Linked DNA regions of Caenorhabditis elegans. The protein of the gene in region 2 purifies or fractionates together with the protein of the main gene of each other region. This does not show direct contact. Each region holds a gene or a part of one and is shown on either strand. Other genes may lie near its edges.

Region 1 (15,396 bases), on a different chromosome or scaffold from region 2:
TATCATTGTTTTTCTCTGTTTTTTAAAAAGATTTCTACTTGTATTAACGGAACAAAACGCTTTAAGTGATTTCCCCTCTAAAAAATATTTTTCCAAACTTTTCTAACCTGACGATGACCCGGATTTAGGAAGTGATCTTCTGCTCATAACCGGTTGAATATTCCTTTTACTCCAATTCCATCCCTGCATCAAAACGCTCTCTTTAGCATTTGATGAGCTTCTCGAGGACGTATTTGAATCTCTTTGTGGTGCAAAAGTGGGTCCTCCATCTCCGGGTGAAAAGAGATGATTGCACACCGACGTCGTCTGTGTGCGATGATGATGTGGCAATGGTGACGTCAAATTTGCGCCCATTTTTTGTGTGAATTGTATTCTGGAAAGTTCAATAGTTAAATGTTTATGAGCTCGAATTTTTTATAAACACCAGGTAGACTAAATGGAATTGTTAGTGAAACTTGATACAACTAGAAAAAAAAAACAAGAAACAAAACCTTTAGGATTGTTATGATATCTTACTAAACTATTGCTAAATTTGATATTAGAAACAAAACTTCAAAAAATAACTCTCGAGAGCCTCAAGAAATTTCAAATGGTGTTAAAAACTTTAAAAATGTTTTCAAAACTACACAGGCTGAACACTTCGACTATAAACCTTATTTGAACTAGCTTCTTCTAAGTTTGAAGATGATGTCAGTCACCTACGCATTTAAATTTGTGCGTTAGATGTTCTTTTCAAGAGGGGAACTATCGCAATAAAGATTATAGTAAAATGCCCTTAAAATGAAAGCTGAAAATTGAAATTTTCAATAAAAATGTAGGCAAGTTTAATTTAAACAAAAATCATTGTGCTCAAACACGGGCCTATTACATCGGATTCTACGCGGAATTTTTTTCTGGTGATTTTTTCGCAACTTAGTAGTATAAAGTAAAACGCCTCTGGGTAATCTACTTTACTTCTAGAGAACACTGCCTCTGGCGTTTCAATTTTTTGCATGATAATTAATAAAAACTCACTTCACTCAAACATGGAATGTGTCGGTATTTTGAGGTGTTCGAAATCTGAAAATAAGAGAGGTATATAAAAATATCTATGGAAATATTGGAAGTAGCTACTGCAGCTGTCTTCAGTCAAGCATAATAGCTATTATGAATAGCTCCATCATCTCTCCCGTGTGCCGAATCAAATAATGACGAATAAAAAAAAATAGAAAGAGATAGGAGGCAATGAAAGAATGGAGGAAAAAAAGTTAATTGGTTTTGAAGCTTGCTCACTTTTTGGCTAGAACACAGTGCGGTCCCACCAATGACGTCATAGATGTTTCGCAATGTTTTTGGTTCTCCCAGTCTTCTATGTTCCCTTTTTGTGACAGCACATTTAGTGCCTTATTTTGGATTCAATTTTCAATTAAATGGATTCACATGGGAGGACAAATTGTGAAAGAATACGAGAAGTATTTCACATGATTACATGTATATACCGTATTTTCCCTACTGAACTAGCACCTTTTTAGAAATCTATTTTGATGGCTTATACGTATCTATATTGTCTGTGGTGATATCAAAACATGTTTTAATATTTTGTAAAAATTTTTGTCAATTATAAGTTTTTGACAAACTGTCAACGTGGAGCTAGAAGGGTGCAAGTTTGATAGAGAAAATGCTGTAAGAAAATGCGGTAACTTTACTGGTTAAGGGATGCACTTGAAGATTGAATATGACAAAGCCTGCCTGAAGGCGCAAAAATTCTTTGTGCGTACCTACTAGATCCTCCAAAACTTTTTGGCATCCAGCTGGAAATTGTTCAGTTTTCACACATCATAATTCTTGGTGTAGTCCGAAAACTTTTTCAATACAAAAACTCCACTGACAATACCTTCAATTGAACTTTCGAAAAAAACATTGAATTTTCAAAAAACATTGAGCAAACCATAATTTTTATTTTCATAGTCCCAGAAAATAGGCTATGAAAAATGTGACGGACCATTTTACATATTCTTGTTTTTTAGAGTCATGTCAGTCACAAACGTCATTTAGACACCACGAGGTTTTCTCGATGGGTTGATTTATTATAAGTTGAGAATTGGAAGATGACTTTTGCAAGCTCTAAAAATGGCGTGGACCCAAAAAATGTATTTCAGACCAAGTTTACCTAGTTTGGCGAAAAGTTGCGAAAAATAGTTTTTACAAGCCTTAAGTTGAAAATTAGGCAGATGATTGATTTTGTACCTTTAATTTTTAAGCTTGAGTGCATGTTTAGGTTTTAGTTGAATTCAATTTCACACTACTCATCAAAAAAGCGTTAGAAAATCCAATTTTGGTAACGAATAGAGAGCATTCACGTTGAAAATGTAATCAGCTCGGAATAGGGATCGTTGTGAAACCTAATGGAAAGACATTAAACATGAATGGGAAATTAAAGTGCATGTACTTTTTTAAATTGTAGTCATTAACATTAACTATTAACATAAATCCATTAACTTTCTCAAAATTTGAACATGTTGTTCAGTAAAAAGCTTGATAAATTGATAAATTAAATAATGGTCTTTTCGCGTTTCTAGGTTATTGTTGAAAATATAATTTGATTTCAACAAATAAATTGCAGCGACAGACAATATAAATTTTACAATTATCTCGTTCAAATTTGTTGTGACAAAAAATTTAGGACACATTAACGAATAAGAAACCTCTACCATAATGTTTCTTTATAGCAGTAAAATTCAGCTTTGTCCTAATTTATAAAAATCTACAACTCTTGCTCTATTCCTGTTGACAATTTTTCTGATAATACGGCATTTTCCAGAATTGCCGAATCAAAAATTGAGCATTTCTATCAACTTTTGTTCTTTTAATTTAAAAGTTGTTGTTTTTAGTTATCATTGTCTTTTTCAACTGATAATAGAGCTTCTATAAATGACATTCCAGGTAAACTAGAATTGACCTTATCACGCATGATGTCATACTTTCAAATGCCGTACTTAACTAGAATAAAAAATAAAAATGAGATCATAACCTGCAAAAAACTATAAAAAGGCGAAATTCTAGACAGCGGATATACATGTATTTGGAAGGAAGATTGGACGTAAGAGGAAGAAGAAAAATAAGAAGAAATAGTGAGCGAAAGCGTAGGGGGAGAAACAACGTGCCTTTGCTCCATCAGCATCGTCGGAGGAGCCCCATCGACATTTCAGTAGAAAGAAGAAAAAGAAGACCGAAAAAGAAAGAGAGAGAGAGAAGCTTCTTCTTTTCATGAGCCATTTCTTTCTCTCTTATCGTCGTTGCTCATCGTACGAGACGCAGAATATTTTGGACGTTGGGGACGACGACTTCAAATCGATTCAAGCCGCCTGACTCTCCCCCGTGTGTGGTTCTCCTTTTTAGAGCAAGTGCGGAGAGAGAGGGGAGTGAGTGGGGGCGAGCAACTATAGCATTGCTGTGCTCCCGAGCTCCTCGAGAAAAAAACGAGAATCAATAGGTCCTAGATGGATGGACGGACAAAAAAAAAAAACGAAAAGTTTTTTTTCGGCGACACTTGGGAATGGTGACGTTTATTCGGATGATTCCTCGTTTCATTTTTTCAGACAAACATGAGTGTTTTGGTATGGAAATTCTGAAAATCTGGAACATTTCAAAACTTGGTTTGTTTTGTTCAGTTTGGAGAAGGATTCGGCGAATTTTGAATCGAAATTTGAAAATTAGTTGTGGAAATATGTTTTATTTAAAAAACACCGTTCTGGTAAAAATGGTTCTTTGATCTTTGTAACTTAACCAAAATTTGTCGTGTCGAGACTGGCTACTATAGTTTAGAGACAAAGAAAACAACGTTTCGACACTTGGCGATAATTATATGTTGAGCTTTTAATTGAATTAAATGAAGTTTTCATTCCAATCTGCACAAAAATATGCTTACGAGAATAATGTATAGAGTATTTATATAGAGAGAAAAAGCTCAAAACTTGAAAAAACGTCTGCAGATTGTAATGTGTTTTATGTATGCGTCATAGGGTGTTCTGCACGTGTAGAACATGTTTCGTGTTGCTGGAGCAAAATGCAAAGTACCCCTAATTAGTTGCACTTTACAATTCCCTGAAACAATTGGACTGGACGAAGAGTCAAACTCTTTCTTTCTTTCGGAATAGTAATGACGACGCCAACGCAAACTAAATTTGCTCGTGGAATATGGTGTATTGAGTTGGTATGCCAACATTATACAAGTTGACCTAAAAACAATGAACGGCAGTTCAGAGAAATTGTATTATATGGACGCATGTCAAAAAAATTTTTCGTGTCGAGGCCGAGTACCGTATTTCTGGTGCAAAAATCCGTGTAATACAAAAAATAAACAACTTCTCCATAAAACAGAAAAAAAATTTCACGTTAAAAAAAACTAACTTTTAAAACACTAACAAAGGTCAATGTCGTCGATTTGTTATCAGACAATCAATCAATATGCAAATCAATTATTCTCGATTTTCGAAACTTGAAAAGCAACTCGGACCGCCCGTTCTTCTGCTCATCAACTAATAAGATGCCCTGGTGAGTTAAGATTTTTACCAACGCAGTTAATTCCTGATGTGTTCATCAAGAACCTCATAGAATTGACATTATGGAGGCACGCCAACGAAATCAGGCAGAATGTGCCCCTTACGAATTATCGTTTTCGTAATTTAGGCATTGTGCCCTGTCTTCGATGGTTCGGGTTTATTGTGCCCACTGATGCATTCTGTGCTCATTGCAAATGAACTATAAATTCTAAAATTTCAAAATTTCAGTCAAAAGAAGTCAAACCCAACGGAATTGCACATCTCCACTGGCCGCGAGATCGTTCAACGGAACTTTGTGTTCCGCAACACCACTGGCAAGGACTTCCTGCTGAAGTTGCATGCTACGAATGAAGCCGTCACCTTCCCAACGGAAGTTTTCCGTTTTCCACCATTGGCTCATCGTGCCATCCAGTTCCGTGTGAACTCATCAAAGCTCTCCCAATGGGACAAGATGAATCTTTTGATCAAAGGATACGTGTTGCCGATCTATGCGAAGAGCCTCAAGCAGTTCATTGATCAGAAGAAAACTGCAGGAACTAAGGAGCAAGAGGCATTCTCATTGTCTGTCAAGTTCACGGATCAGTTCTCGGCTCCCCAGACAGTCATCAACTTGCCAGGATATGCCACGTGTATCGAGTCGACTGATTATCCGGTTGACGTGGAAGAATTGGACACTACAACTGCAGTCAACATCGAAAGAGGTACAGATTGATGCTTTGGTTCAAACTAATTAAAATCTTTCGATTTCAGATGTCTCCACTGCTGTTCCAATTGGTTCAATGATGGGATTTGTTGAGGAGTACAAACGTCGTCAATTGAACAAAGGATGCTGGTTTTCCAACTACATCTGTGGAACTGAAAAGCAACCGGAGAAGCAGTCAATGAGATCTTCTCGTAGATCAAGCCGTTCGTCGAATCATTCTGCAAAGAGCTCAAAGGCTTGCCGTATTCAGGCTAATAAAAAGAACAAAAGTGATGTCAATGTGTGCCTTGAAGCAACTCCGTGTGGTGGATCAACTATTCAAGCTTAGATTGAACTGTGAATGGCACTTTTGTATGATTTAATGAAATTGACTTGGTCGGGTTTCTTGAATATTTTCAGTAGCTTGCACTAACTATAAGCTGAAACATGTAATGTTAAAGAGACAATTATGCCTCTTCCATTTTTGGAGATCATTACGTCGCCTTTCTTGGAATTTCAAGGAGGAATGAGGCTTCTGATAACTGTCTTGAAAAACTAAATGAAGTCACACGGTGTTTGGTAAGTTCAGTGGTACGGTGAATGTAACTTAACAATTTTCGAAGCGCCTACAGAAAGGTGTGCGCCTTTAAAATAATACTGTAGCTCCCAGATCTTCATTTTTACGAAAATTTCCATACATTGTCTTACAATGTTTTGCAATCACACAAAATAACCTATTTTCAGATCTTCCATGTTTCTTCCAATTGCACCGTCGAAAGTTATTGCCTTTTTTATTTTGTAGGAAAAATTGAATAACATTCAATCATAAATTTTTTTAATCATAATCATAAAATCAATGGGAAGAACAAAAAAATGTGAAAAGAGACAAAAAGAAGAAAATACAATTGTCTAATACACATTGAAGCACTAATATTTCGAGTATTTCAGTATAAAACGAGTCATCTCACACTTTCAATGCTTGGGAAACAAAGACGCGTCATGGAAAGTGGACGGCTGATAAAAAATCATATTAAAAATGGGAGAGTAGGAATAAGACAAAAAATAAAATTTGAAAAAGGGATATGCAAAAGTTGGCGGGATGAACAATAGAGGACAACTTTTCATGTAGTGAAATTCCTGAATTTTTTCCAGATAACTCACTGCAATCAATTCATTACAATTCTAGAGAGATTTTGGCATTTAAATTTTTTTGAAATTATTCGAAAGGTATTTCAACCGGAAAATCTGTGAATGAAGAATGGGGGAAGAACAAAGAAAGTAAAATGCTATAAAAAGCAAGAAAAATTATATTGTTAACGTGCTCTATAAGGAATATTAAATTTTGGGTGGTTTTTGTTTTGTGAAGAAAATTTTTTGTGAAACATGATAATTGAGCAATATAAAAAACCAAAAGCAATGCAAGATAAAAAAGTAAATTCAGCACTATCACAGGGGGAAATCGTGTTATTTAATATTCGATATTTACACACCAAATATTACTCCGAAATTTTGCGAATTTTCTAAACTTGGAAGTTGGCTGGCGCTGGTTCATTGTCATCCTCCTCTTCTTCTTGATTCGCAGCGTTTACCCGTTGTTCTGAAATTTGAATATTTAATTTTTGAGAATTCGCGAAGCTTTTTCAACTAAAACCTCCATCAAAGTTGTTTATCACACGCGAAATATCTTGCTGAATTTGATTTTGATCTCCATCCTCGTTATTCTTCAAAAAGAAACACATCGTTTTGTTCGTCGAATTTCTGATTTACACAGATATTCATTCATTTGGTTAGTATTTAGAAGAAGAAGCACAACTATTCTAAAAAGGTGTTCTTTTTGAGAAACTAGTTTAATTCTATAAATTTATGTGATACTAACTACTGAAAAAATGAAAAAAAGAGGAAGAAGCAGAAATAATTTTCAAAAAAAAACTCACAACACCCGTAAATACCGCTGGGCGGGCACATTTCGTGAAAAGTGTATCTGGGGATTGTCCATGAAGAAGTCCCACGAGAACAACCTGAAAAATAAATATTAAATTTTTTAAATGTGTATATTTCGTTAAAATTCAACATTTTAATTTAAAGTCACATGCCGTTTTTCTTAGTAGGTCTCACCACGATTTCAACTACCATAGTCTAAAGATCTTGCAAATTACTGTAGTTTTTTTTTAAATTTGGCTGATTTGGAATCTTCAAAGATTTTTATTGATTATCTTACAATTTGTTAAAATTTAAGTGTTTCAAATTTTTTTGTTCCAGTTTAGTTTCTCATTAAAAGTTTTAACGAAAACTTATGAAAATTTCGAAGTTTGAATTTACTGTATATTTATATTTCAAAACATAAAATAAAGCTGATAAAGTGTTTAAAAATTTATTTTTGAAAAAATCAAACTTACAGTCATATTATCGCATCCGAGACCACCCATCTGACAATCTGGAGCCAAGCACCGAGTGAGAAGCTCTTCGCAAATCTGAAAATGAGAGAGAATACGAGATATTTACTTTATTTTAATCAACTTACCGATTGTGGATCCCTCTTCTCAGCAAGCTTCTCACGAACAAAATCTACGACTTCCTGATTTGTCATTACATCCCAAATACCATCACATGCAAGAACAATAAACTCGTGATCCGGTGTCAGCTTGTCAGTGATCACATCCGGGAATGCTGAAATTAAAGAACTTTTTTTAATTTTTAATTTCAAATTATTCTCACCAGTGACAATTTGCTCCTCAGCAGGCTTTGTGTCACAATTTTTGAATGCAAAATCTCCGAGAGCACGGGAAAGTGCCAAATTACCATTGACACGATTGAACTCAACCCATCCACCGGCGGCAATGATACGTCGAGCTTCGGTTTCATGAGATGGCTTGTGATCGAATGAAAGTGGACGAGCTTCTCCAACAACTGAGGATACTGCACGAGAGTCACCGGCGTTTCCTGAAAAATGGAGAAAAATTAAAAATTGACATTTAAAAATATTAAATCCTGGTCTTCCCTATACAGTTTAAATAAATATTTAATTTCAACGTTTTTTTCTATGTCACATAAACAAATCTGTGAAGTTTGAAGCTTGTAGGGATTACTGTGGCTGAGATCGTGGTGGGACCCACTCAGAAGTATTAAAAAATCAGCGTACGATTTTTACAACTTTATGATACACAGTTATCACAAATGTGTGCGTAATCAAAAATTAAAATTTTTGAAAAAATATGGAAATGTGTTTTTATTTTCTGTACCAATAATTTTTCTCCTTTTTTAAAGATAACTTTTGTAATACCGTGAAAGTTCAAAATCTAATAAAATTTCGAACAATATGAATTCTAATACTGCAAAATTCGAAGCTTGGAAGTTAATTTTTTATCGATTTTTACTGAAAACTGTTAGTCTTAGTATTGTGATTTTTTTGAAAAATACTCAGTGTCTTTAACATTTCCTCAATTTCCTTCCATTGACGTTTCAAGGTCAAAGTGCAAATCCGTGTCTCTTACCACAATAAACATCTCCCTCCTTTATCAATACAACAACTGCTGTCGTTCCACTAACATCATCCTTTGTCTCTTCATCAACTCTCATCTGTTGATCCAATTCTAGGAATCCTTTTTCGATTGCTTCTTTCATATTTCCCTCGGAAAATTCCTTCTGTGCGACGACTTTTTTGTGAAGATTAATTCCGGAATATTGTGAAACTTTCGATCCACCGTGTCCATCGTAGACAGCAAAGAATGCACATTTTGGATCATCAGGAAGAGAAAGGAGATGTGTATGGGCATCTTCCATGTCTGAAAAAAAAGAACATTTAGAACAATTTATTGAACTAATTATCATTTTTGAAGATAGTGAAGCTAATGGATTTTCAAGTCGCTAAGTACCTAAAAATGATGAAAATGATGAAAATGAGCTAAGGAGTTCTGTCTGAAGAGAAAGGGACTAATATTCGCTGATTTTTTTTTTTAATTTAGACTAAACATTAAAACAAATTAATTTCGCTATGTTATTTCTTGATTACAAACGTTTAAAATGGAAGTAAACGCTTAACAATATCCTAAATTCCTAAATATCCTAATTTATTTTATCACATTTTTGCTCTGATAACTTTCTTACCAACTCTCCATCCCTGCATACAACTGCTACCGACCAAATAATTCTCATTGGCGCATGACGCCGACTCTTTTTTAGTAACTGGCTCACTGAGTGTTTGTCCCATACTTCTGAAAATTGATTTTTATTTTATTTCAGTCTAAGTGCACTAAACAGTACTTTCAGCGGGAAAATTATGATGTTTGAACGATAGAAAAATGGGAAAGAGATGAAAAGACGAAAAAAATGCGAAAATATTTGAACGAAAAATGATCGAAGGGGGCGTAAGGTTATCACAATTTCAATGCTACCTGTTCTTCAATAAGGAAAGACTGATAGAACGTGTGTCACGTGATCAAAAGATAAAATGGAAAGCGTTTCCGAGAGACAGAAGAAAATTATGGAATTTTTCGATAGTCTATTTTCCAACAAAAAAGAAGTTACTGATAAATTTTTTGAATTGTTCGAAAAATTGTATTATCACAAATTTAACGGAGCAAAGTTCAAAATCGATGATGAAATTTGCATAATTTTGAATAAAAATTGAAAAAGAATAGTAGTACTGTACTAAAGGCGCAACGTGGTTAGCGAGTGGGTCTCACGACGAAAGATCTACAAGGAGTTTATTTAAAGTATCAGGCCTGGTTTTCTAAATCACTTGCTCATATTTTCTTTTGGGAAGTTTATTTCCGAAGAAAAATTGCGAAACAACTACATGATGTTCCCAAATTTAAATTTCGATAATTTCAAAAATGATTCCCAATTTTCAAAAATGTTGTATCCAAAATGCCCGCCGCCGCCGCCGCCGCGACTATTAACCCTCACAGCAAATAAAGAAAAGTTGAAAAAATAAAACGGCAAGACAAGCACAGTGATTTTATTGTATTCTAACCGATAAAAGTTTTCGTCTCAAGACCACGTGCTAGCAGGAAAAAAACGGCGGTCGGCCGGGAAATAAAAATGTGACACCAAGTTTCGGTTCTTCTTCGTTGCGTCGTTGGACGTCCCCGCGTCGCATCGAAACAAACATTGATACCGAGACACAAAAAGTGACGAGAGAAAAGACCGACAAACGGACACTAGGCTGCCAGGCGAAAATCAATAGGTAGTGAGAGTGTGTGAAGGTGAGAGGCACAGACATTCCGTTTCTTCTGTGACCACGGAAAATCACATGGCGCTGTGCGGGGAAACCCCCTCATGTGCGGGAACAACCCGATGCAGTTGCGCTCTAATCGACGTATGAAAAATCAAGGCAGTTTATCACGTTGACCAGGTTATCATTGGGGGAGAGTGATCAGAAGACTACAAAGGTATCGTTGTTGTTAAAATTGTTGAAATTCAAAATTTTAAAATAGCAACAACAAGTATTTTCAATAATATATGCTAGTTCCAGTGTACTTGTCAATAAAAATCTAGAAATGACGTGATTGTTTTATGTTGCTTTATGGAATTTATCATGTAAAATGTTCAACAATTTAGAAATAAATGTACTTAAGGAACAAAGCGATATATGAAACATTGAGATAGGAACGATGTATCTGAGACACAAAACCTATAAAGACCAATTTTCAAACTATCGCACAGATTGTGTAATAAATGTCACTGCAATCTGTGTGATGATGGTTTCTTACATTCAAATTATTATCAAGAATAGTGGTTTGGAAATTACGGTTGCCAAACATGCTACTAATGACGCACATCAGGTTTCTGGATGAAAGAAAATTTGAAAACTGAGCAAGCTTAGTTTAAAGGTGGAATACGGTCAATTGGGACTTCATGATAAACCTCCCAAATGAGATGACAGAGCAAAATATTATCAGAGGTTAGAAAAATCTCCAATTTTGGTCAATTCACAGTTATCATTAATATTTACCCTCGCCCATTTTTTTGGTGCCGCACTTGAAGTTTCTCCATTTTGGCTCAAATTTTCAAGTGAAAATTATTTTTGTTGAATTTAAGACATGAAATAAATGTTTACACAGAAATGATACCTTTTTTTTTGAAAATTGGAGACTAGACGAAATTTTGAAAAATGTAATTTGTTGGGTATCTACGTGTACCTAACCCTCAACGTGGATATGAAGATCGTGTAACGTGAACTCATTATCTATGTATACTAACTTTCTATTCATTCCTTAGTTATGTAATAATAAACTACTCGTCTTCGCCTCCTTGTTCGGCCTCGAATATATAACATTATTCAAACGAGAACATCTATCACAATTGAAAATGTGCCAAAATTAGCAATTTCCATCAAACTAGATACAGTTGTTTTGTTTTTATTTTGTAGTATTTTGGCATTTTGCACTAGCGTTATTCCTCCTTTAAACTTCAATTATAAAATCACATATCTAAATTTTCAAAAAAAATATTTTAGCAATTTGCAAATAGAGACACAAGCAATATAAATAACCATCAAAGCGTGGATCATGTTTTGAAATAACTGTAAAAAATGACAATTTTAGAAAACATTTACAACATCATTCTTTAACAAAGTTCCAGAAATGCAACAGAAAGGATGTCTCATTGTGAGAGTTGATGTTATCAGTCCTCACATGAACATAATTGACGTCTCATTTCCGGTTATGACGAGCAATTTCGTAACTCTCGATTTCCAAAACTTTCGATTTTTCCCAAATATTTAGTGATTCATATAACAATAACCATTCTTATTTTCATAATTCTTTGTTTGTGTCCCGCTTCTTTTTATTATTCTTTAGCAGTTATTTGTTCAGGATTTCTCATGTCTTTCGTATAAATTATATTCTTCACAGTTTTGGATTCTAAAATGAAAGTGTCTGGTAATACTTTAGTTCTTTCGATTTATTCTCGTTTTATTCTTTTGATCACGTTAAGCTATGCTGTAAGTTTTCTTTTTTAAAGATATTCTGTATGAAGCGGGATAGAATTGTTTTGAATTTTTTAAAATATTTTTGAATTTTTTCTCATTTATCAACGCGACTCCTATAAAAGTTCACTAAATTAAAAAAGTCTTATTTGTTCAGTGTCCTCCAAGTCTTGATAGTTTGAATCTTCCACCACCAGTAATTCATAGAGAATGCCTAACAAGAAACAGCTGCCAAAATGGATATATCTGCCGATTGAATAGATGTGTTGGTGGAAGAGCATTGGCAAGTAAAACTAAATATGTGAATGAAGAGGTAGGTTCTTTTCTAGTTTTATTGAAACTATGAGAAAATTCTGTTTTGAAATATGTATTTAAAATATTTTTCGGAATTTACGGAGTTTTGTTGTTTCTCTATTGTTTAACTTTGGCAATAATCTGCTTTTGAATAATTTCAAAAAATCCAACTTCTTCAAGATTTTTTCTTCAAAAATATTCAAAAAAAAATCTCATGAAAATTAAATAATCCCACTTCAAAATTCAGGAATCCGAGTACTCGTTAAAAATGGAACAATGTTGTGTGGATAATTTACTTCCGGAGAGATGCATGGGATTCTGCTCATTTGAGACTTATAATGAATCTTCCATCTTTCGACTGCTCGCGGAGCCCAGAAGATGTCCAAGTTCATCACTTAGAACTATTCATTTTTGTGCATCTATGAATATGGATCACACAGAATGCTGTGAACAGGCACGTTCGAAAATGTATTTATTTCAATAGAAAAGTTGATTCAAGAAACTCGCACAAATTTATCTCGATAATTCAAGATAAAATTTTTGAAGGTTTTCTGTACAGCTGTAAAGTTATCTGAAACTGCAAAGTTCTTTAATAATTTGTCGGAAACATTGTTGAAATTTCCTTTTCACAGTTGCCAATTTTGTTTGCCAAAATTTGGATATTTAGAAAATTAATTTAACAATTATTCAGCAAATTAACAATTGTTGACTAACATATTCAATTTATTTAAAAACTTTAGTTTTTTCCGTATAGCAAAGTAATAGTACAGCATATCCAATAAATCGGTTTTATTCATCAAATTTTAAATTTTTTGCAGAGTCGTATACCATCAAATTGTGTGGATCTATGTGCTCCTTCTGATTCGGAAGTTCGATTTGATGAATCAAAACTTCATTGTCTTCACTATCTTCCAATAATGAAAGAATGTTTTCAATCAAATTAAAATTAATAAATAATCCCTATTTCCTTGTTTCTTAACCACTTAATGCTCATTGAACCTATTAAACACTGTCGACTCCGGCATCCTGTCAAATCGAAACACAAACAAACACATTCGCATTGATCTACCGGAAGAGATCCGGGCGATTTGTTGGCATGGCTATATAATGTGTGCAATTCAAACATTCAATTCAATATCACATTTTGATATGAACATAAAGTATTTCACTTTTCTTGTTGCTTCCGTACTTTGCGAGTTCAACCTTACAGAGACGTTGGCTAAAAATGGTAGGTTTACCGGTTTTGTCTTTGGTTTTTAATCTTTTGCATTTTTAAAAAAAATTTTTAACAGTATCATAAAATAACTGCAATATTCTCAAATATTTTCTTTAACATTTTGTTGAGAAACTTGCCAACTTTGAATAATCGTTTCGGTTTTTGAAACGAAACATCATTTTCCAATTATGCAATTTTTAAACTGTTCCCTCCGAATTTTTTTAAATTCAGCTCATAACATCTTAGGTCCCACCACAAAAGATGACAAGTTACTGTAAATATCTCAGAAAAAAAAAAATTAAAATTCGCACAAATGAATCAGCCTACAATGAATCTATACATTTTCCAGAAAGTTCACCTCTTGTGGATCTTTCGAAAGTTGCCCGCGACCAAGGAGCAATTGTAGTCGCCGCATTTCCAGCAGTATCTACAATTAAAGCAAAAAGTAAGAAAAAATTTGGACTGGGAGCTTTTGAAAGGGGATATACAAACACTGGTGCGACTTTTTCAAGAAGAGGCAGAAGTGGAGCTTCAACTGGAAATCCTTATGCATCGTGAGTTTAACTTTTTTGAAGGAAAACGTTTGCAATATATAAACTTGTTCCAGTGGATATCAAGGGCTCCCTGAATCACAAAGCAGTCTGCCAGGAGATCGTGTAGGTGGAATGACCAGAACTGGAAAGAGAACTTTTGGAAGTTATGGTAAGAAATATATTATTTTAAAATCAAACATTCATACTTATTCCAGGAAGCGTCGACACTGCAAAAGGTCAATCCTCGGCTCATAGAGCAGGAACCGGTTCAGGATGGAGAGGATCTTCTCGGAATGACGGAGAGAATGACGATTGGAATAATGGAGATCAGAACAATAATAACAATTTCAACTCTAAAAACAATCGAATGAACAAATATGGAAATAGAAACGATGGAGATGATTATAATGGAAATGGGAATAATCAAGACAATTGGAATTCGGGATCAAATTCTGGAGGGTACAATGGTGGTGGTGGAGGATCTGGAGGAGGATCTAATTGGAATAATGGTGAATTTTCAATTTTTCCGATACATTATATTTCATGAGCAAGCTTAGACATCTTATGATAATGCTCGAAACACGGAAAATATATCTTTCTTTTCAAGTCGCCTAATGTAAGCCTATCTTTCTAAGCTAGAAAACACTTCTAATTTTCTAATAGACCGCCTGTTTTTCTTTATACAGTTTTCTTGTTCATGGGTTTAAGAATCTACTGACGCTATTTTAGAAAAATTTCAATTCTGTAATTTGTTTCAGGAGACAACGAAAATGACGGCTGGAATAATAACAACAACAATCGAAAGAGCAACAACAATAATAATAATAACTATGGTAATTCATGGGGTACAAATGACAACGATGGAAATTCTTGGAAAGGATCTGGAAACAGCAATGGAAACTCTGATAATTGGGGTGGATCCTCGGGAAGTGGTTCAAATGGAGGAAATGATGGAGATTCTAATTATGGAAATGAAGGATCATGGAAGCCAAGTGGAAATAGTTATGGAAGAAATCGAGGTGGAGGAAATGAAGGTGGTGATCAATGGGGAAGTAACAATAATGGAGGAGATAATTATGGATCTGAGTTGAGCAACAATTGGGGTGGATCTAATGGTGGATCAGGATCAAATGGAGGTTCTGGAGGAGGAAATACTGATAATGATAACTGGGGAAGCAATAATGGCAATTCTGGAGGATCAT
Region 2 (17,456 bases):
TGATCTGATGATTTGATGATCTGTTGATCTGTTGATCTGATGATCTGTTGATCTGATGATCTGATGACCTGATGATCTGATGTAACATTCAACCGAAAGTAACTTCCGAATTTATCCCGCCGTCTTCGATGTATTTCTGTTTCAACGGTGTAAATCAGTTCTGACCTTGAACCCTATTAATTTGGGAGACTTGAAATCTCTTCTAGTAAAACCCTGTGGGGTCCCTGATCTCCAGATCCCCTGAATCTCCCAGCTTCGACACACATGATTTTCTCACGACGTTCCATCCGAAAACGTAACAAGACCATAACGCATGAAGATCAAATAACGTCATTCTCGTTTTTGACCAATTCCTTGTTTCTCATCACCAGTGATGATGACCATTCTGCTGCCTCTCTCTCCAAGTCGTCACTGCTGTACAGCCAAAGAAAAAACTTTCGATTTTCATACACTAATCGACCCTAAATAACTAGACCATCACAAGCCAAAAGCAAGAAGGAGGCCATATTTTCTTTCTCTACTATTTTTTTGGTAAATTGGAAATGCAACAATTCGAAGGATGGCTCCAAATTAAACAGTTCGGCATATTCTTCCTTGGTGTTGTGGTTGGCAGCTTTTGTACGGTGAGTGTTTGGGTACGGTAGCACGGAAAGTACGCAAACACCGAATCCTTAAATTCTGAGAAAAATCAATGAAAACCTGGAAAATTCATATATTAATTCCTATAAGTTTAAAATGTTTTTTTTTCAATAACTTACAAAATTTTTTATAATTTTTGAGAGCTCTCATTTCAGTAGAGTAACTAGACTCCGCCCGCACCGGCTTAGGCTCCGCCCCTTTCAGACCCCATTTTTTAAAGTTTTTGAGAAAACTACAAAACTAAAAAAGCTGCGAAACTGTTAATTTTCGAACTTCAATAGACGAAAATTTTTTTCAAGTGTCTGAAAAAAAAGTGAATTGAATAAAATCAATATTTGGCTCCGCCCCTTTCAGACCTCTTTAAGTTTTTGATGGAAAATGCTCAAAAGTTATTTTTAAAAAACCCATTATTTCAACTTCAAAATAGTAATATTTCATTAAGGCCGCAAAAGCTTCAAATTTGGGTAAAATTCAGGTTAGGCTCCGCCCACATCAGATTAGTCTCCGCCCCTTTCGGACCCATTTTCAGAATTTGGGAAAAAAGCTCTGGAAAAGGTTTCTTTTTAATTTCAAAATTTTAAAATATGATTTCAGATCTAAAAATTTTAATGTTCTGAGTATAGAAAAAACGAAAAAAAAGGAAAAGAATAGGCTCCGACCCATTTTCGTGTCGAGACCGAAAAATCTTTTTTTCGATAAACTTCAAATTTCGTAAAACATGTCTTTGTCATGATTATACTTTTTTGTTGAAATCTCTCAGTTTCCCGAGTTCAAAAAACTTAAAATTTTTGAGCTCAACTCAAAATTTGACTGAAAATTTCAAATTCCAGATTATTCTCTTCTTCTACGGATGCTTCAAGTCCTCCACACTGTCGGCGAAGCCCACTGAGAGCTCCGGGGATTCAGGGAATTCTGAAGATATTGAAAGTCAAGAAACACAAAGACCACCAGCTTATTCATCATTAAAGTAAGGTTTTTAAAACATTGAAAGTTTTCAAAAAAAATTTTAGATTCGACAAAAAGCCGAACACATGCAAATGCTGTCGTGTGCTATCAACAAAACTAAATTCAAAAAATGTTTCAAAAAAATAATAAAAAGTGATTCTCTCTGCCTTCTCTGTGTCTCTCAACACCCCCTCCCTCTAACATGAGCGACCACAGAAGCTTTTCCATTAATTTTTGAGCAATGTTTCCTTTTTTTTGGGATCGCTGCTCAGAGTTGTAGAGACAACTTACGTTTTTCAACCTCTTTTTTCTGCGGAAAATTCTGAAAAAATCGATTTTTTTTCTGGAATACTTTGAGCATTTTTTGAGCTTTCTGGGCTCAATTTTCAGCCAATTTTTAAATTTCTAAAAAACTTTTTTTAAAAAGAATTTTTCGTCTGTTTTGCATGCTACTTTTTTTCAAAAAATTTGGGGCAAAATCCCAAAAAATTCCGCAAAATTACAGAATTTTATGGGTGGGGGCAGCGGTCTGCTGATAAACTCCAATCGGCGAAAGGGCTCGAGTTCCGGGTTTGGATGTGAGGGATGGTTTTGTGATTTGATGGACGGTGCAATGGTTATGTTAGTGGTTATGGTGAGTTGGGTTTTTTCATTTAAAAATCGATTTTTGAAACAAAAAAGTATTTTTTTTTAATTTAAAAAGTTGAAATTATTTAAAAAAAACAATAACTTTTTATAAAAAAATTTCTCAACTTTAAAAGTATTAAATCCGAGTTCAGCAAACCAAGAGCTTTAATTTAGGTATAATCATGACCAGGCTCCGCCCCTTTTGAGTTTATGCTCCGCCCATTTTAAGCCATAACACCCGCCCAATTCCAGGAAATTGTCAACACGAAAAATCAACAGTTCTGAATTTTTAAGCTTCCTTATTAGGCTCCGCCCACTTTCAATTTCAGCTCCGCCCACTTTTGGTCCTGCCACGATTTATGGCAAAGACTGCGCTCATTTTAACAAAAGCAATGCAATATTCTTGATTGCCAAAAAATAAATTTTTAAGTTTTTTTTAGGTTTGTAAATTCCCAGGCTCGCCCAATTCTGGGTTAGACTCCGCCCTTTTTTTGTAGGTTATAAAATTCTCATTTTCACCTTGAAAAGTGTTTATTCCATTTTAAATGTTTTGATTTGATTTCCCTCTTGTTTTGACTCCGCCCATCGCAGGTTAGGTTCCGCCCACTTATTGGCTCCAGCTCAATTTTCAAAGCTGACGGATCCTAGTCATGATTATACTTAAACCAAAGCTAATACTGAGATAAATAAGGATTTGATAATTTCATGAAAATTAAATCAATAACCGAGGAGTTTTAAAAATCTAAAGATATATTTTGAAATATAAATTTCGAATATTTTTTGTGGAATTAACAAATTCCCCAAACAAAAATTTCCAGGTTATCGCCACAGCTCTCATAGGCTGCCTAAAAGCCTGCTTGTGTAAAAAACAAAAACAATTGCTCCGTGAGCCCAAGCCAACATCAGAAGCGGCGCAAGAGGTGCCGAATGGTCCAGAACTACCACAAATCTCAGAGGCTCCGCCGCCAATGTTACCTGTAGTGATTGTGTTGGAAAATCCACCAGAATACGCAGAAAACGATCAATATATGCCTCCTGCTTATTGTACCTTGAGGTAAACATTTAAAGTTAAAAATTTTTTATTATTTATTTTAGAAAAAAAATCCAAATTTTTTTTTTCCAAAATTTTTTTTTCAGATTCAACAACGACGAAGAAGCCCAAATATAATAGGTTTATTGATTTTTTTTTGTTTGTTTTAATTATTTCAAAATTGTTTTATATTAAAATAATAATACTAATAAACAAAAATAATCGATATATGTATTTTTACACAAAAATTATATGTATTTTCTTACTCAAAAATATTCAAAAAATATTCAAAAATAGGAACCGGTGTTCACTGGGATTCGTTCTACAAAACTAGAGTTTACAGGGACATAGGGACTACTGTAAGTACTTTGAAAATGGCAAAAATAGCTCTGGAATGAATGAACAAATTGAGATGTGGAGGAAGGGATACTACAAAAACTACAAATATTGGTGGGCGGGGTTTAAATTCGGACTGCTCCGGCATCGTCACTATCATCTGTTGCAGAGGTGGTGTATTCGTCGATGCATTGGTGGATTAGGGCTTGTGGATTCTGGAATTTTGGAAAATTAATAAATTTTTAGTTTTCAGCCAACAATTTTGTTGGAAACTGGATTTCAGATAATTTTCACTAAAAAATTTGAATTCGGCATGCAAAGAGCTTTGATTTAAGTATAATCATGCCTAGGTTCCGCCAATAATAGGGTTAGGCTCCACCCACTTCTTGGCTTGTCAAGAAGTATTGCGAAATTTTAACGAAAAGTGTAAAAAAAACTTGTGAGTTTTGAATCAATTTAGTGTTAAAAAAATTAGATTTTCTGCTATTTTTAGAAAAATTTCCAAGTATTCCCTAATATTTCGTGATAGGGCCCAGAAGTGGGCGGAGTTAAAAACCAAAATGGGCGGGTCCTTGGCAAAATTAGAAGTAAGTAATTTCAACTCCGGAAACACGATATTTCGTGAGGTTTTGGAGAATTCCCTAGTATTTCGCCAAACTTGACGAACCATTAAGTGGGCGGAGCCAAACTTAAATTTCAATGTAAAATAAAACTCACCGATCCGGTTCTCCTGTGCGTTTTGATGCTCATTTTGACCGCCTGAACTCTCATCTCATTATCACTAAGCCCATCGGACCGGGTGGCTCCAATTTCCAGACTTCTCTCCAATGAGCTCATCATAGTACTCTGAGACGTGTCAATTCGATATCGAAGATCCTCAGATTCCATAGAAGTATTCAGAATATTATTTCCATTTCCCTCATCTTCTTCCGAAGATTCAACATCAGCATCGTCGGAGCGGGATCGTCGGGAATCCATCGATGACGTCAGATCCACGTCATTTGCGTTTTCCTCGTCCACCAGCTCCACGTGGCACGGGTTACTGTAGGTGGTGATTGGTGACGTGTAAATCGGGTTCATTGTCACATCACTATTGCATAAAGCCTCGTCGTAGGACGTGGACTCTGGCAAGTTTACGATTTTTTCCAAATTTTTCAAATTTTTCGGAGATTCCGGATCCACGAAGCTCTCGGCATTTTCAAAATCATTGTCATATGGAGTTGGGCTCCGGGCTCTAGATGATGACGTCATCGGCACAGCAATTGATTTTGCTCGCGGAGCACGGGCGTGAGCACAGCAGCAGCCGTCTTCGAGCTGGTGAGGAGCATTTCGAGATGGATAGGATGAACGGTTGAGCTTTGAGCTTGAACGGGCTGAAAATTAAAGCTTATTTAGTAAGTTGGAAGTTTATTGGAAAAAAATGTAGTGTTAGAATTTAAAGAAAAGGGCAGAAAACCATGCAGTTAAACAACCTCAAAAACTGGTGTGGCCTAGAAATCTAGCTGGTGGTCTAGAATTTTTTAACCTAGGCCATAACCATATTTTTCCAGGCAAGACCTTGAAATTTGCAAAATTTTAAAACAAAAATTACTGCGAAAACTTAAAAACTGTCGGAGTTATGAATTTTCGAAATATTTTTGCATATCTTTTTTTTCCAAAAAATTAACTTTTCTGCCTAAACTTCCAAATATTTAGAGCTAATTTTTATTACATAAAAATTTCCAAAAAAAAAGAGCATTTAGAGACGTATAACCCTGACTCCGCCCATTTTGGGTCTCGAAGCGAAAATTAAAGTTTTAGGTCAAAACTTAGAAAACCAGCCATGATTATACTCAAATGAAAGCTCTGAATTTTCCATGAAAATTATGAATTTTCCGAAAATTAGGATCTTTAAGGGTAGTTTAAAGTTACTGTAGAAAATTTTAAAAATTTCGAAAAATTCCGAAAAATTTTTTAATTTTTAAAATTCCGAAAATTTTTGAAAATCCATAACTCTGTCAATTTTTGGTATTTTCAGCTCAATATTGCCTAAAAATGAAGATAAACTTTTAAACTTTTTCGGAAAACCAAATCGATCTCTAGCTACAGTACCCCTTTGTGGTGGGAACTAACTAAAATAAAGAAGTCCCATGCAAAAAAAAATATTAGAAAACTCAGAAAAAGGAAAGAGCATGCACATACGAGAGGAGCAACTGATCACACCGTGTGGGACACGTGACGGGCTGTCACGTGTAAAGAAGACGGGCTGTCCGGGGACTGCAGTTGACTTGTTGACTGACGTGGAGACCCTCCGACGTGAAGCTATGCGCCCGTCCGACCAGCGACCGTCACCGTTACGGTACAGAGTTTGGGAGTAGCAAACCTGGAAAATTTGAGGAAAATCGATAAACTTTGAGTTTAAAAAAATCGAAATTTTTCGAAATATTTGTGCCAAAAATTAATTTCCTCCTCACCTGTTGTCCTCCACCATTAATAGCTGTGCAGCTACCGGCTCCAGCGCTCCACATCCCGGAATCCTGAGAAAATCCGGAATCCCTGGCCGGTGATCCACGGGCCCCACCCAGCGTCTCCCAGTAGGACCCTGAATGACGTATGGCGTCGTTGCGTAGGATTTCTGAAATTTTTCTATTTTTTTTAAATTGAGGGGACCAAGAGCTTTTAGAAATGTATAATCATGTCGAGGTTTTTGGAAACTTGATTTTTTTGCAAAAAATTGAGGTCTCCCCGCGGAAATCCCGTGGATAATGTAGCCAAGTAGTTATAAGTGAATCAAATATTTTTGCCAAGTTGTTCATTAACTTTGCTATATTTTGTAATACATTTTTTGGAATAATCTTAAATTCTAACGAAGTTATGAATTTTCGAAAAAGGTCTAGAATTTAGATAAGTTGAACTTTGAAAATATTTTGAAAATCCACAACTTTTTCAGTTTTTAAGATTTTTCCCTGATTTTTAGCTTTGTCGAAAGCTTAAATGTTCAATTTTTCAGGGAAAATATACTCACTTGGCGGATTCGCTCCCTCGCTTCTCCTCGTTTGCTGTCCAGCACTGCTCCGGCTCGAGCTTTGCCTTGAGAACGGAGAGCTCTGAACTCCTGACGAGGAGCTCGTATTGGAGCACCTATACGGAGATCCTCGGCACGGTTGAACATCTTCGTCAGACGACATATCATCATATCCCTCATTCGGGTATCCACGTAGCTGTGCTCGCGGAGCCGCCACTGCCTTCGGGCTGTTCTGATTGTGCCACTGCTCCCGTTCAGTCAGATCTTTTTCCCACTCGGCGAGCTCACTTTCCTTGAGTTTCAGCTCTGTGAAGCAGCCTTGGAGTTTGTCATACATTTTGTTGGTTCGTTTAAGCTTCATCTCGTACATATTTCGGATGTCCTGGAAGAAATTGGAGTTTTAGGTTTACAATTAGGCTAGTTTCAGGTTTGGTCTTAGGCTTAACTTTAGGCTTAAACTTAGCTTTTAAGCCTATAAGCCTAGTTAAAAACTAATAGAATATTTCTAACCTTAATATGATTCAATTGCTCATGCCGCTTCCTCTGTATTTCCTCCTCCATCGCAAATGCGCTTTTCGGTCCACCATGATCCCTGGTTACTGTAGACGGATACTGTATACATTTCGCGAACTCTCTGTAAGAATCCCATGCCAACTGCCACTCCTCTTCAGTCATTTCGAAAAGTTCCGGCTTGAAGATCTCCCAGTGTTGTCGGATGTGGGAGAATGAGGGACGATTGCGACCTTTTTGAGATAGACATTGCTTGATGAGAAGTACAAGACCTTTCGGAGCTTCTTCTGGCATTGGAAGGCTCAGAATGCTGAAAATTAAAAGGTTTTTAGGATTATTAAAATGGTTTTCTGGACATTTGGCTATTTGAATCTTCAGAAAAAAAAACAGAAAATCAGGGAACAAACTACAACTCACTTTGTTCCAACACCAAAAATGATTGCCATCTGAGCAATATTTGCGTATGGCGTCTCTCTGGTGAGCATCTCCCAGAGCACAACTCCAAATGAGTAGACGTCGACTTTTTCGTTGCATGGCTGTTTTTTTATCATTTCTGGGGCCATCCAGCTGAAAATGTTGAAGTTCATTACAACCAAGCTTAGGTCTAAGATTAAGCCCAAGCCAAATTTAAGAACCCTAAGCCTAAGCCAAGTTCCAACTTACCTAACAGTTCCACAGAATGACATCATAGTACTATCCATTTTCTTTTGCATATGAGACGTTCCAAAATCACAAATTTTAATTGAATCTTCAGCGGAGATTAGAATATTGGGCGATTTGAGATCCCTGTGGATCACTTTGTTCTGATGCAAATAGTGCATTCCATCAGCAATTTCCTTAACCCATTGAGCAAAAAGTTCTCGGGTTATTGTATTTCTTGACTTCAATACAGTACATAGTTGTCCTTTTGAGCAATATTCCATCACTATACAGTAGCACGGGCTCTTTGAGCAAACTCCGAGAAATTCAATGATATTCTGGTGACGGAGATGTCGAAGATGCTTGATCTCGGTCTCCTTCAGTTGATTGACCTTTTTCACAGCGACAGTTCGGTTTTCCAGCTGACCACGAAACACTGCTCCCTGGCTCCCGGAGCCCAGCCATTCAAGTTCGGAGATAGCGTCGAATGGGATCTCCCATAGTTCATCCTCGGATTTTTCACTGGAAAATTGAATTTTCAATCAAAAAAAAAATATTTAAAACTCACATTTCAACTGTAGTTTTAGTCCCGAAATATCCAAAAACTGGCTGAAAACACGAAAAGAGCCCATTCCTAAGCTGTCCGAGCCCATCTGCGTAGAAGCTGTTCAGGCTGGGTTTCGACGCGTTCCCGGTCGCAGCCACCATATTTTTGGGATCTGGGGATCCTGAAAATTTTGAATTTTTAGTGGAAAAAGATCACGTTTTCTTTAGTATATTTTGATGGAAATGTGCGTATTGTTTCGCTGAATCAATATGCAGTCGGCAAGTGATAAGAGACAGTGTGGGAATGTGAGAGAGTACAGAGAGATGTCAGAGAAAAAAGTGACGTGTGTGCGGGAAGCGGTGGGGATGAGAAAATACACATTTGGCGGTTTTTTTTGCAAAAAAAATTTGGAGATGGTAGAACACGAGGGAAAGGATCGTCGCCGAGGAATGCGCAAAGGCACGAGAAAAGCGCCAATGAAGTTGCTGGCGCATTTATCGTGCATTGACGTATTTTTGTCTATTCGTAGATCAAGTGATTTAGCGCATTTCTCGACAGGGGACAATTGTTGAAAATCAGGAGGAAAGGCAGCATAACCGCGCCGAGGCACAAGAAAAGCGCAAAGAAGTGCTGACGCATTTTCAGTGCCTTAACGCACTTCTAGTGTTTTGGCGCAGATCTCGTGTTTTGGCGCTTTCCTAGTGCCTTTGCGAACTTCTACTTACCTTCTTTCTGTCCGAACTCCGCGTTCGCCTGCTCCCGATGCTGTATCGGTGTGTTTGGAGCACTTTGTGTCACAAGCTCCGACCCATCCGGACTCAGGACTACTGTAGAGAAGTCGGAGGACTCCGGTGCAGGACCCGGTTGTTCTTCTGAAAAAAAGGAGTTTAAAGGGAAAAGTTCGTTGGATCGAAGAAAAACAAAAAGTTCAAGTGTATGTATTTACTGCCGCGCGCACATTGGCCTGGTGGCGCCATATTGCGATTTTTCACTCTGGTTTTCTCTATGTCTCTCTTTGCTGTGATTCATCAGAAACAGTTTTTGATCGGCAAAATATTTTTTGAAAATTTTTATCCCAAAAAATTCATTTTTAAGGTGCCCCTTCCCTCTGCAAGAGCAGCGATTTCGCAAGTGCCTTTCCGGGTCCCTTGAGCTACACGTCTGACTCATTTTGGCTAGAGCAGCTCAACGGGTCCCTCTTTGGCTCATTGACGTCACGCGAGTCGTGGAGCACACGAAGCACAACAAAAATAGAGTCATGCCATTCGAGGCGACAACAGGAGACGCAGAGAAGCAGAGAGCCGGGCTGGGCACTCGCGGAGAGGGGTTAATTAGTTTGGGAATGAGGCTTAAAATAGAATTTGGAACTTTAATCAAGACAACTTGAGAAATACAAAAAAATAGCCGTTTTTACCTTAGAAACTCAAAATTTCAGCTAAACCTTTGCTTTTATTGTATGTATGTTTTGATGGAAAACTGATGGAAAACAACTATTTTTTTGCCATTTTCGTCTAATGTTGTCAAGTTTTATACGAACGTTTGTCAATTTGTAGCCAAAAAATAAACATCAGTAGTAGTTTTGGGTAAAAATTTGGTAAGTTTTGATCTAAAAACGACAGTAATTTTGCTCAAACAGCCCATTTATTCTGCAAAATTATCTAAAAAGTTATGCAACCTATCTATGACTTATGCCCATAAACCTATAAAAAACATCATATGGTCAGAGAATTACTGATAATAAGGCGTCGCCGTCGTCTCACTATTTGCATTCCCCGTAAAAACTTCCACGTGGCTTACGCGACGTCGATTTGCCGGCGGCGGGGCCGTGTCTTGGAGAAAAGCGCGGAGACGCAGATATGTCGGGGGTATGGGATGAGGGGTTTAACGTTAGGTCAAAATTGTGTTCCACGTGGAAAACACTAACTCAAAACAGCTGAAACTTAAAGCTAGCAATAGTCAGTCGATGCACCATGATTTTGGAACCCCCAAGTTTGATTTGCGCCGTAAATCGATGCACCATGCCCCCCCACAAAAATTGTACCTGATGTTGGTGTGACCAAGTCGAGAGTGGTTACCATTGTGGTAGATGTCATTTTATCTGAAAAAAATAGTTTTTTTTAAGCTTGGCAGTCAAAAAAGGTAATTGCAAAACGGACAAAATCAATGTTGTATCGGAATTGAGGACGGATGACGTGATGCGTATGAAGAGAAAGGGAGAGGATCCGGGGCGATCATGCGCGGTGTACAGGAATTCAAGTCGTCGTCTTCTCTGGGGCGAAACTATAGATCAGTTCAAAAATTTTGAGATTCGAGACGAGATGAGTTCAACTCTCCACCACGGGAAAATTTTTTTGCAAATTTTTTCGTTCCAAAAAAAAGGAAAAAAAAAAGATCCAGAAAAAAACAAACAAACATTTTTGTCGCAGTCACCGAGGACCTAGGTCACACAAAGCTTCTTATTTTTACGAGCAACACCTGAAACTAAATCAGTCGTAAGGCCCTAGATTTATAACGTTAGTACTCACATAAGTTTCTGGGGCAAACTTTCTTTGCAGGCGACTCTTGTCTGCTCTCTTCCTCATCATCAGCAAGGTAGTCATTAGCAAGATAGTCATAAGCAAACTTGGCAGCCCACACAAGCTATCGGATAAGTGTCAAGAGACATTGGAGTTCAAAAAGTGGCTCTGATAGAGCACATGACCCGGTAGATAGACGAAAAGTTAGTACTAGGGAACCTTAGTTAGTACTAGGGTACCTGTTATGAGGCACAGGGGTCTGGATTTCCTCATTGCAGTTTTGCGCTCCATTGACAATCGTCTGCCGGACAACGCGTGGGAAAGTCGCGTACACCATACGGGCAGGTACATTTTTTTACAACTAAAACCGAGCCGCTACGCGATACGCAACGCGCCGTAAATCTGTTCCAGATATGGCCGAGCCAAAATGGCCTAGTTCGGCAAACTCTTGCATTTTAATTTATGAGGGAATCCCGAAAAAAAAACAAAGTAAATTTAACAAGCACTTTTATATATGTAGTTAGTTTTTGAAGCTAAATACTCCTTACAATTAGTTCCCCAAAACAGTAAGGTTGCCTAGATTACGGTGTACCCCCTGCCGGAAACTGTACCTCCAAAATTGAATCTAAGTAATGTTGAACCATATAACCTATCTCTGTTGTCAGTGGGGCACGAGGAAGACCCCTTCCCTCAACCCCATCGGGAGGCCCCCTATAAACACAAAAAATGACAAATTTCTACAGTGAGTTAGCGAGAAGACTCTCTTATCAGCAAAAAAAAATAAGAACTGAGCAAACCGATAGTAACATTTTCAGGGCGTGGCGGTGACCGTAATCGCGGGAGTCACATGGAAATAACTATGAATTTTCAGATGAGGGTGCCTGGCTCCATGGCAGGCGTGCTCCGTTGCCATGCTACCTCGCCACACACACATACACAAACATCTCAATCGGAAGCTCACTTTTTGAATGCTCTAAGAAGAGGGAGGAAAACGACCGGAACATGAGAAGAAGAAGGGGAAAAGGAATAAAAAGTGGTAGTTGAGAGGGAGTGAAAAAGGGATTATAATTGTGGGGGTGGTGGAAGGGGGTGAGGGTCAAAAATCTTTACTCGGCTGAAAATCCTTACTATTAGCCCCCGTTTTATTCGAAAAATATAGTATTGTAAATAAAAATAAGAACGAGTAGCCACTGCGTCATCACCTATTTGAGTTAGTGCGTCAATGTGATAAAAATAGAAATTATGAGGGAGAGAGAGAGGGTAGTATAACTTTTGAGTCGAGAATGTTGGCGAGAAGAATTGTTATAAAAAAAACTACTAAAAAGTGTTCAAGGAGGAACACTTTTCCATAACTCTGGCCACACCCCAACTTGGCTAGAGTTTTGCCGGTAGTGAATGACCGGTAGGGTGATAAAGGACAGTTCACCTTAGGGGCCGAAAGGGGCCTAGGGTTTTTGGGCCTGCACAAAAGCTTTTGCGGAAGGCATAGCTCAAACCTGTTGAAACTAATAAAATCTTGAAATAAATGAACTTTGTTATCTGAATAATCCAGTGAAAAAGATCAACAAGTATATTGTTAGTTGGATGTAGGTCCATGATCGCGTAAAAATCTAGGTGGCTATAATAAGTTTAGTCTTTCCAACGCTGAACCCCTATCGTATATAATTGCTCAAATTACATGGCTCAAAAAAAATGGAAAAAGAACAAGAAGCCACTACGTCATCACAACATTGTTGCGATAAAACTGGAGGGACATGATGATGTTTCAGGAAACAAAGTATATTGGGTCTAGAATTTTAAATTTTACAGTGCTTAGCTTGTCTGAAAAAGGTGCGGAATTTCTGGGCAAGCGCCTAGAAGTGCGTCACAATTTTTCCCATAAAAAATTCCCGCATTTTTTGTAGATCAAACTGTATTGAGACAGCCTGACACCACGTTCTCGAAAGGTTATTTGGTTTTTAAAAATGTTATACGCTTCAATTTTCACCTAGAAGATCCTCACGTCAGAGCTGAGTCTCTCTAAAAAAAGTGATTCTAATTGTAAGCCTAGCAACCCAGTTTTCTTCCACAAAAAAAAAACGACAATGAATTGTTCTAGAGAATCACCTCACCGTCTGCGTCTCCCTTGGGTGCCCGTAGAGGACGATCACCTGTTTGTATGAGAGGGGCAAACGTGTGTCTTTTCTATTCACCCGTCGTCGCTCTACATGTTTGAATTACTCATCAATGCAATTTTTGATTGAAAAGAGGTACTAGGCGAAGGAAAGTGAGCATTGGTTGTTATTATTAGATTATTAAAGTATGGAAAATGTTAAAAATTTGTCAGTGGAGAGATTTTTTTCGAGAAGGGCTAGAAAAATTATGAGGAAAGTTAAATTACTGATAGCGAAATAAAGATTGAAGAACTACTGGAGAATGAGCACATTTCGACCTTTCAGCCCATTTCCAAAGCCCCTAGAGAAGCATAAAAATCGATTGCCCAGCCGCGTCACACAAGAAAATGACCACCAAAAAGTGTCGTGCCTCAACGTCTTCTGGACTAGAAAAAAGCGAAAAAAAAGATGAGGAAAAATGTGGAGAGATGGGAGAATGAAATGAGGGAAGCGATGGGGGGAAACCGCCGCGGGGGCCCTTCCACGCTTCTTCTCTGCGTCTCTCCAAACGGCGGTCTCTTGAAGTTTTCTTGTTGTCTCTGCCTGACCACACGTTTGCGAACTCCCGGGCCGCCGCTTGAACTTGAATCAGGTAGTTTTCGGAGGGGATGAGAGAACAGGTGGATCAACAAGCGAGGCCATTGGCAGCGCGACGGAAATGGATTTTTTCAAGGTTTGCAAGTTTTGTTTGGAAAATGCAGACGACTTGGCGCGAGGTATTTGAAAAGTGATAAGGTTTTTTTCCCGGAAAATTGGTCACAATTTGCAGAACTGACTCATTATCAGCACATTTTAGTAACGATTTTGCCAAAAACTATGTAAATGCACTTGGAAATGCATATGACGCTTCTTGAAGTTCGTATTGTTTGCTTATTGAAGGTTCTCGTAATTTTTGAGGTCCCCAATGTTCTTTACTGGCCTTAATCAATCTTCTACAACCTGGCTACTCCAAATTGGTCCGCCCTAGGAACCGAACGGTACCTTCCGGTGTCACTGTTTTCCCGCCATTCACAGTGACGAATCTCATCGAAGATTGATGATATCTTTGACAGTTCTCCGAGGCAAACCGGTTTTAAAAACACATTGGAATTACGAAATCGGAGCGTAAAGAGTAGAAGATGAAGGAAACAAGTGAGGAGATTGATATGAGAAAAGGAGAAAACGATTAACAAACGCGCTAATTCTAACACTGGAGACAGGGATTAAGGGTGAGGAGAGAGTTGCTAATTCAAGCAATACTTGGGTAGAAGCCGATAACTGGACGGGAAAATTTTTTTTCATCAACTAGTAAAAAATTGCACAGAATCCTATTTTGGCATTTTTTAAAAACTATTTTTGAATTGCATTTTCTCAAAGGTAACAAACTTTTTCTCATATAGAAAATTTGGGTCAAATTGATTGATCCAATTGGTGGGCGGCAATTGTTGTTAGGCAAATTTTTTTTCGATAAGTTCGGCAAATCGGCATATTGCCGGTTTGCCGATTTGTCGGAAAATTTCAATTCAGACATTGCCGGTTTGCCGATTGTTGGAAATGTTTAGAGGGATTTTTTATAAGACGGCAACACTTAAAACTGTGCCTTTTTGAAATTTTTATCTCGTTATCTTTAGATATTTTCATAGAATTTGTTTGTTTTCAAAATAGCTGTAGAAACATTTGTGGAATTCGTACAATTTTGCCGATTGAAATTGAAATTCTGAAATTACAAAAAAAAAGTGCAAAACCACAATTTGCCAAAAAATTTTTGGCAAGTGCCGGAAATTTTCAATCCCGGCAATGCGCCAATTTGCCGGGAACTTTTAATTTCGGTGATTTGCCAATTTGCCGGAAATTTTAATTCTGGCAATTTGCCGATTTGCTGGAAATCTTCAATTCCGGATATTTGCCGATTTGCTGGAAATTTTCAATTCCGGCAGTTTGCCGATTTGCCGGAAATTTTCAATTCCGGCAATTTGCCGATTTGCCGGTTTTGGGCCCTAGGTCATTGTCAGCTAAAGTCCAAAAAAAAACGAGAGAACGGATTATAACTGGCATAACTAGTATAAGATTATCATAATCTGCTGCCAAATTATATCTAAAAGGTTTTCAACCTAACTCCCACGAAAAAAAGAGTAATTGTTTGCTCCAATATTTGCTTAGAAAATATCTCTTATCACATTTAACAATTTCGCAATCACAGCGGCGAAAACACAAATAAGTGTAAAGATTTCCGAGAACTGAAGTTGCAAAAACGGATAGAAAGCCCGGCCAGGAGGGAAGTGAGGGGGTGAGGCAACTGTTGCCATGAAGAAAATAATGATGAGTCAAGTGATTTTTCGCAGGGACCATTGACAAGCGAGCACAAAGACCGGAACCGGTGCATAATGCTCAGGGTGGTCTTTGTGCTTGAATGTCAATGGTCCCTGAGTTCCAGGTTCCTGTCGGAAGGTGAAGCCCGGGAGCCCCTAACTTTGAGCAAAAATACAGGATAAGCTCTCTGAAAAACAAAGTAGAAAAGCTGTTCTTGTGTTCCGGGCGGGAGAACCAACCGACTAGATAAGCTTTCTATGAAACCATGAAGAGAAGCATTCTGTCAAGAATCTTCGAGTAACTTTTTGTTTATTGAAAAGAGTTCACAGACTTTAAGATGTAAAGATTAAAATAGAGGTAGTGGAAAAATGTAAAGCGAGAATATTAGGTCCAGCGATTATAGAAAAATTACTCTGCAGTACAAGCAGAAACTAAATTGAACTCTTTTACTCCACCAATTCGCCGGGTGCGCGTGCTGATTCGGCGACGGCCGAGTCTGCGATTGACTCGAGATCCGAGAAGGAGTCCGCCATGGCGATTCCTGCAATTTTTGATGAAAACTTTATACTTGAAATGATGAAACTTACTTGGCACGATTTCGTTAGCTTCATCAAGGATCTCATCGGGGATCTGGGGTGGAAGGACCAGTGGGAGACGGAGCTTGAGTGCTGAAATTTAACAAAATTACAGAGGTTCACATACAAAAGCTCACCGAAGAAAATGGAAGTGGTACTTTCCATTTTGTTGCACTTGCTGCAGAACTCTTTCCAGACCTCTCCGGTACGATTGTTGAAGTTCAAGTGGACAATTTTCTGATGTGTCTCGTCAAAGCCCACAAGCACTCTTCTGCGAAGGCGGTGACAGTCCACACCGTACGACTCCTGAGTGTGAGTCACATCATCACAAGGGAAACGGCGACGTTCGAGCCAGGTGAGCTCAAAAGCCTTTCGGCAGATCTCGATATGATTGAAGCTTCTCGGGCGATTGATGTCACAGATGATCTCATCGGTGATGCTTCTCATCAGGTAGCAGATGCCAGCCAGGTACGTGAGGCCATTGTAGTTGAAATAAGTCGCCTGGACTCGGTCAGAGATCAGATGGTAGGTCAGGAATCCCTTAGCTTCCTGGTCGATCGGCTCGAAGTTGAATGAGTCTCCCCCAGCGAGGAAGTTCTCGGCGGCCACTGAAACTGTGATGGCGTTCATAGGGATCACGTAGCCCCTGAGACTGTCATCCTTCAACACAAAATGGATAAGCTCATGACCAAGCTTGTAATCCTCCGCTGGCACGGGAGCCATCGGGTTCTCCGTGCAGTTGAATCCAACAATCTCATGAGCCATCCATCTGGTTGCCGTCTTAAGGATCGGCCAAAAGCGGGGATAACCGAGCACAGGATGTTCCTCGTGAGGCTTCTCGGCGTTGATCATGATGATCTGAGTTTGACTCGCCTTGTTGCTAAGTTCAACGGGCGGCTCGTAGGGAAGAGCATCGGTAGTAGAGCTCCTGTTGCGCAAGGCGTTGAGGCAGAAGATATTGGCGAACATCGAGAAAGGAATAATCACACTTGTGAATGAATGAAAGTTAAAATGATAAACTTATAGAGTGTGTGAGGCGGAGCCAAAGAGGTACCAGGGATACGCGCAGATACGGGTCCATACCCAAGGGAATCCTCATCAGCAGTTTCATAGTTCATAATTGGCGAAATAGTGTGGGAGAGGCCGGAGACAAATGGCGTCTGAGCTTTTGATAAACAAAAGGAGAAGCTAAAAATGACAACGTGATTCAGAAAAAAGACGTGACATTGTGAAAACATCAGTGAAAACCTTTGTTTGGGAAGAGATTTGAGGAATCAAAAATGATATTAACTACAAACTATGAACTAGAAACTATAAACTACAAACAAAACACTTCATTTCAAGCATGGTTCTTGTGTGAAAACAGAACTACTATATATCTTTTTCAGCCTTAGAAAATGCCTGAAATTTCTGAAACGAGAGATTGCCTCAGTGCACGTGGAATCAGAATGCCTTATTTCGGTTTGATCTTCGAAAAATGCGGGAGTTGAGACGCAGACATCTCATCTGATTTTGCATGGTTAAAAGCGTGCTGACGTCACAATTTATTTGAAAAAATATTCCCGCCTTTTTTTCTAGATCAAACTGTAATGAGACAGCCTGACACCACCCTCCAGTGCAATTGCTTCCAAGGAATTTATCAACAA

The links.
Region 1: the proteins of dlk-1 (region 2) and ppm-2 purify together in Caenorhabditis elegans (affinity purification with western blotting, with the first as the bait; one study listed by BioGRID). This does not show direct contact.

Annotation. Positions count from the first base shown.
Region 1 is NC_003281.10:4,644,532-4,659,927, reverse strand, and holds ppm-2 (putative protein phosphatase 2C T23F11.1), read right to left. Parts: upstream 9,435-15,396; 5' UTR 9,431-9,434; coding exon 9,328-9,430; intron 9,006-9,327; coding exon 8,715-9,005; intron 8,164-8,714; coding exon 7,939-8,163; intron 7,891-7,938; coding exon 7,745-7,890; intron 7,695-7,744; coding exon 7,620-7,694; intron 7,242-7,619; coding exon 7,158-7,241; intron 6,945-7,157; coding exon 6,875-6,944; intron 6,821-6,874; coding exon 6,744-6,820; 3' UTR 6,042-6,743; downstream 1-6,041. Other genes in the region: cdka-1 (Cyclin-dependent kinase 5 activator 1), read right to left, coding at 108-354; T23F11.2 (Major sperm protein), read left to right, coding at 4,526-4,533, 4,770-5,242, 5,292-5,572; dbd-10 (DB domain-containing protein), read left to right, coding at 12,092-12,166, 12,309-12,464, 12,693-12,899, 13,264-13,389; pqn-29 (Prion-like-(Q/N-rich)-domain-bearing protein), read left to right, coding at 13,595-13,673, 14,011-14,215, 14,269-14,363, 14,410-14,703, 14,953-15,396.
Region 2 is NC_003279.8:12,562,427-12,579,882, forward strand, and holds dlk-1 (Mitogen-activated protein kinase kinase kinase dlk-1), read right to left. Parts: upstream 10,376-17,456; 5' UTR 10,371-10,375; coding exon 10,319-10,370; intron 9,150-10,318; coding exon 9,003-9,149; intron 8,459-9,002; coding exon 8,299-8,458; intron 8,253-8,298; coding exon 7,755-8,252; intron 7,659-7,754; coding exon 7,509-7,658; intron 7,402-7,508; coding exon 7,092-7,401; intron 6,964-7,091; coding exon 6,582-6,963; coding exon of another isoform or gene 6,547-6,581; intron 6,192-6,546; coding exon 6,031-6,191; intron 5,940-6,030; coding exon 5,759-5,939; intron 4,951-5,758; coding exon 4,295-4,950; intron 3,793-4,294; coding exon 3,703-3,792; 3' UTR 3,380-3,702; downstream 1-3,379. Other genes in the region: C49G9.2 (uncharacterized protein), read left to right, coding at 543-623, 1,470-1,606, 1,650-1,731; mec-19 (uncharacterized protein), read left to right, coding at 2,096-2,218, 3,030-3,265, 3,349-3,379; F33E2.10 (DUF4817 domain-containing protein), read right to left, coding at 15,682-15,776, 15,823-15,903, 15,948-16,779. UniProt on the Caenorhabditis elegans protein: Component of a MAP kinase pathway that functions presynaptically to regulate synaptic architecture and presynaptic differentiation. Phosphorylates and activates mkk-4. Has a role in axonal regrowth following injury and synaptogenesis.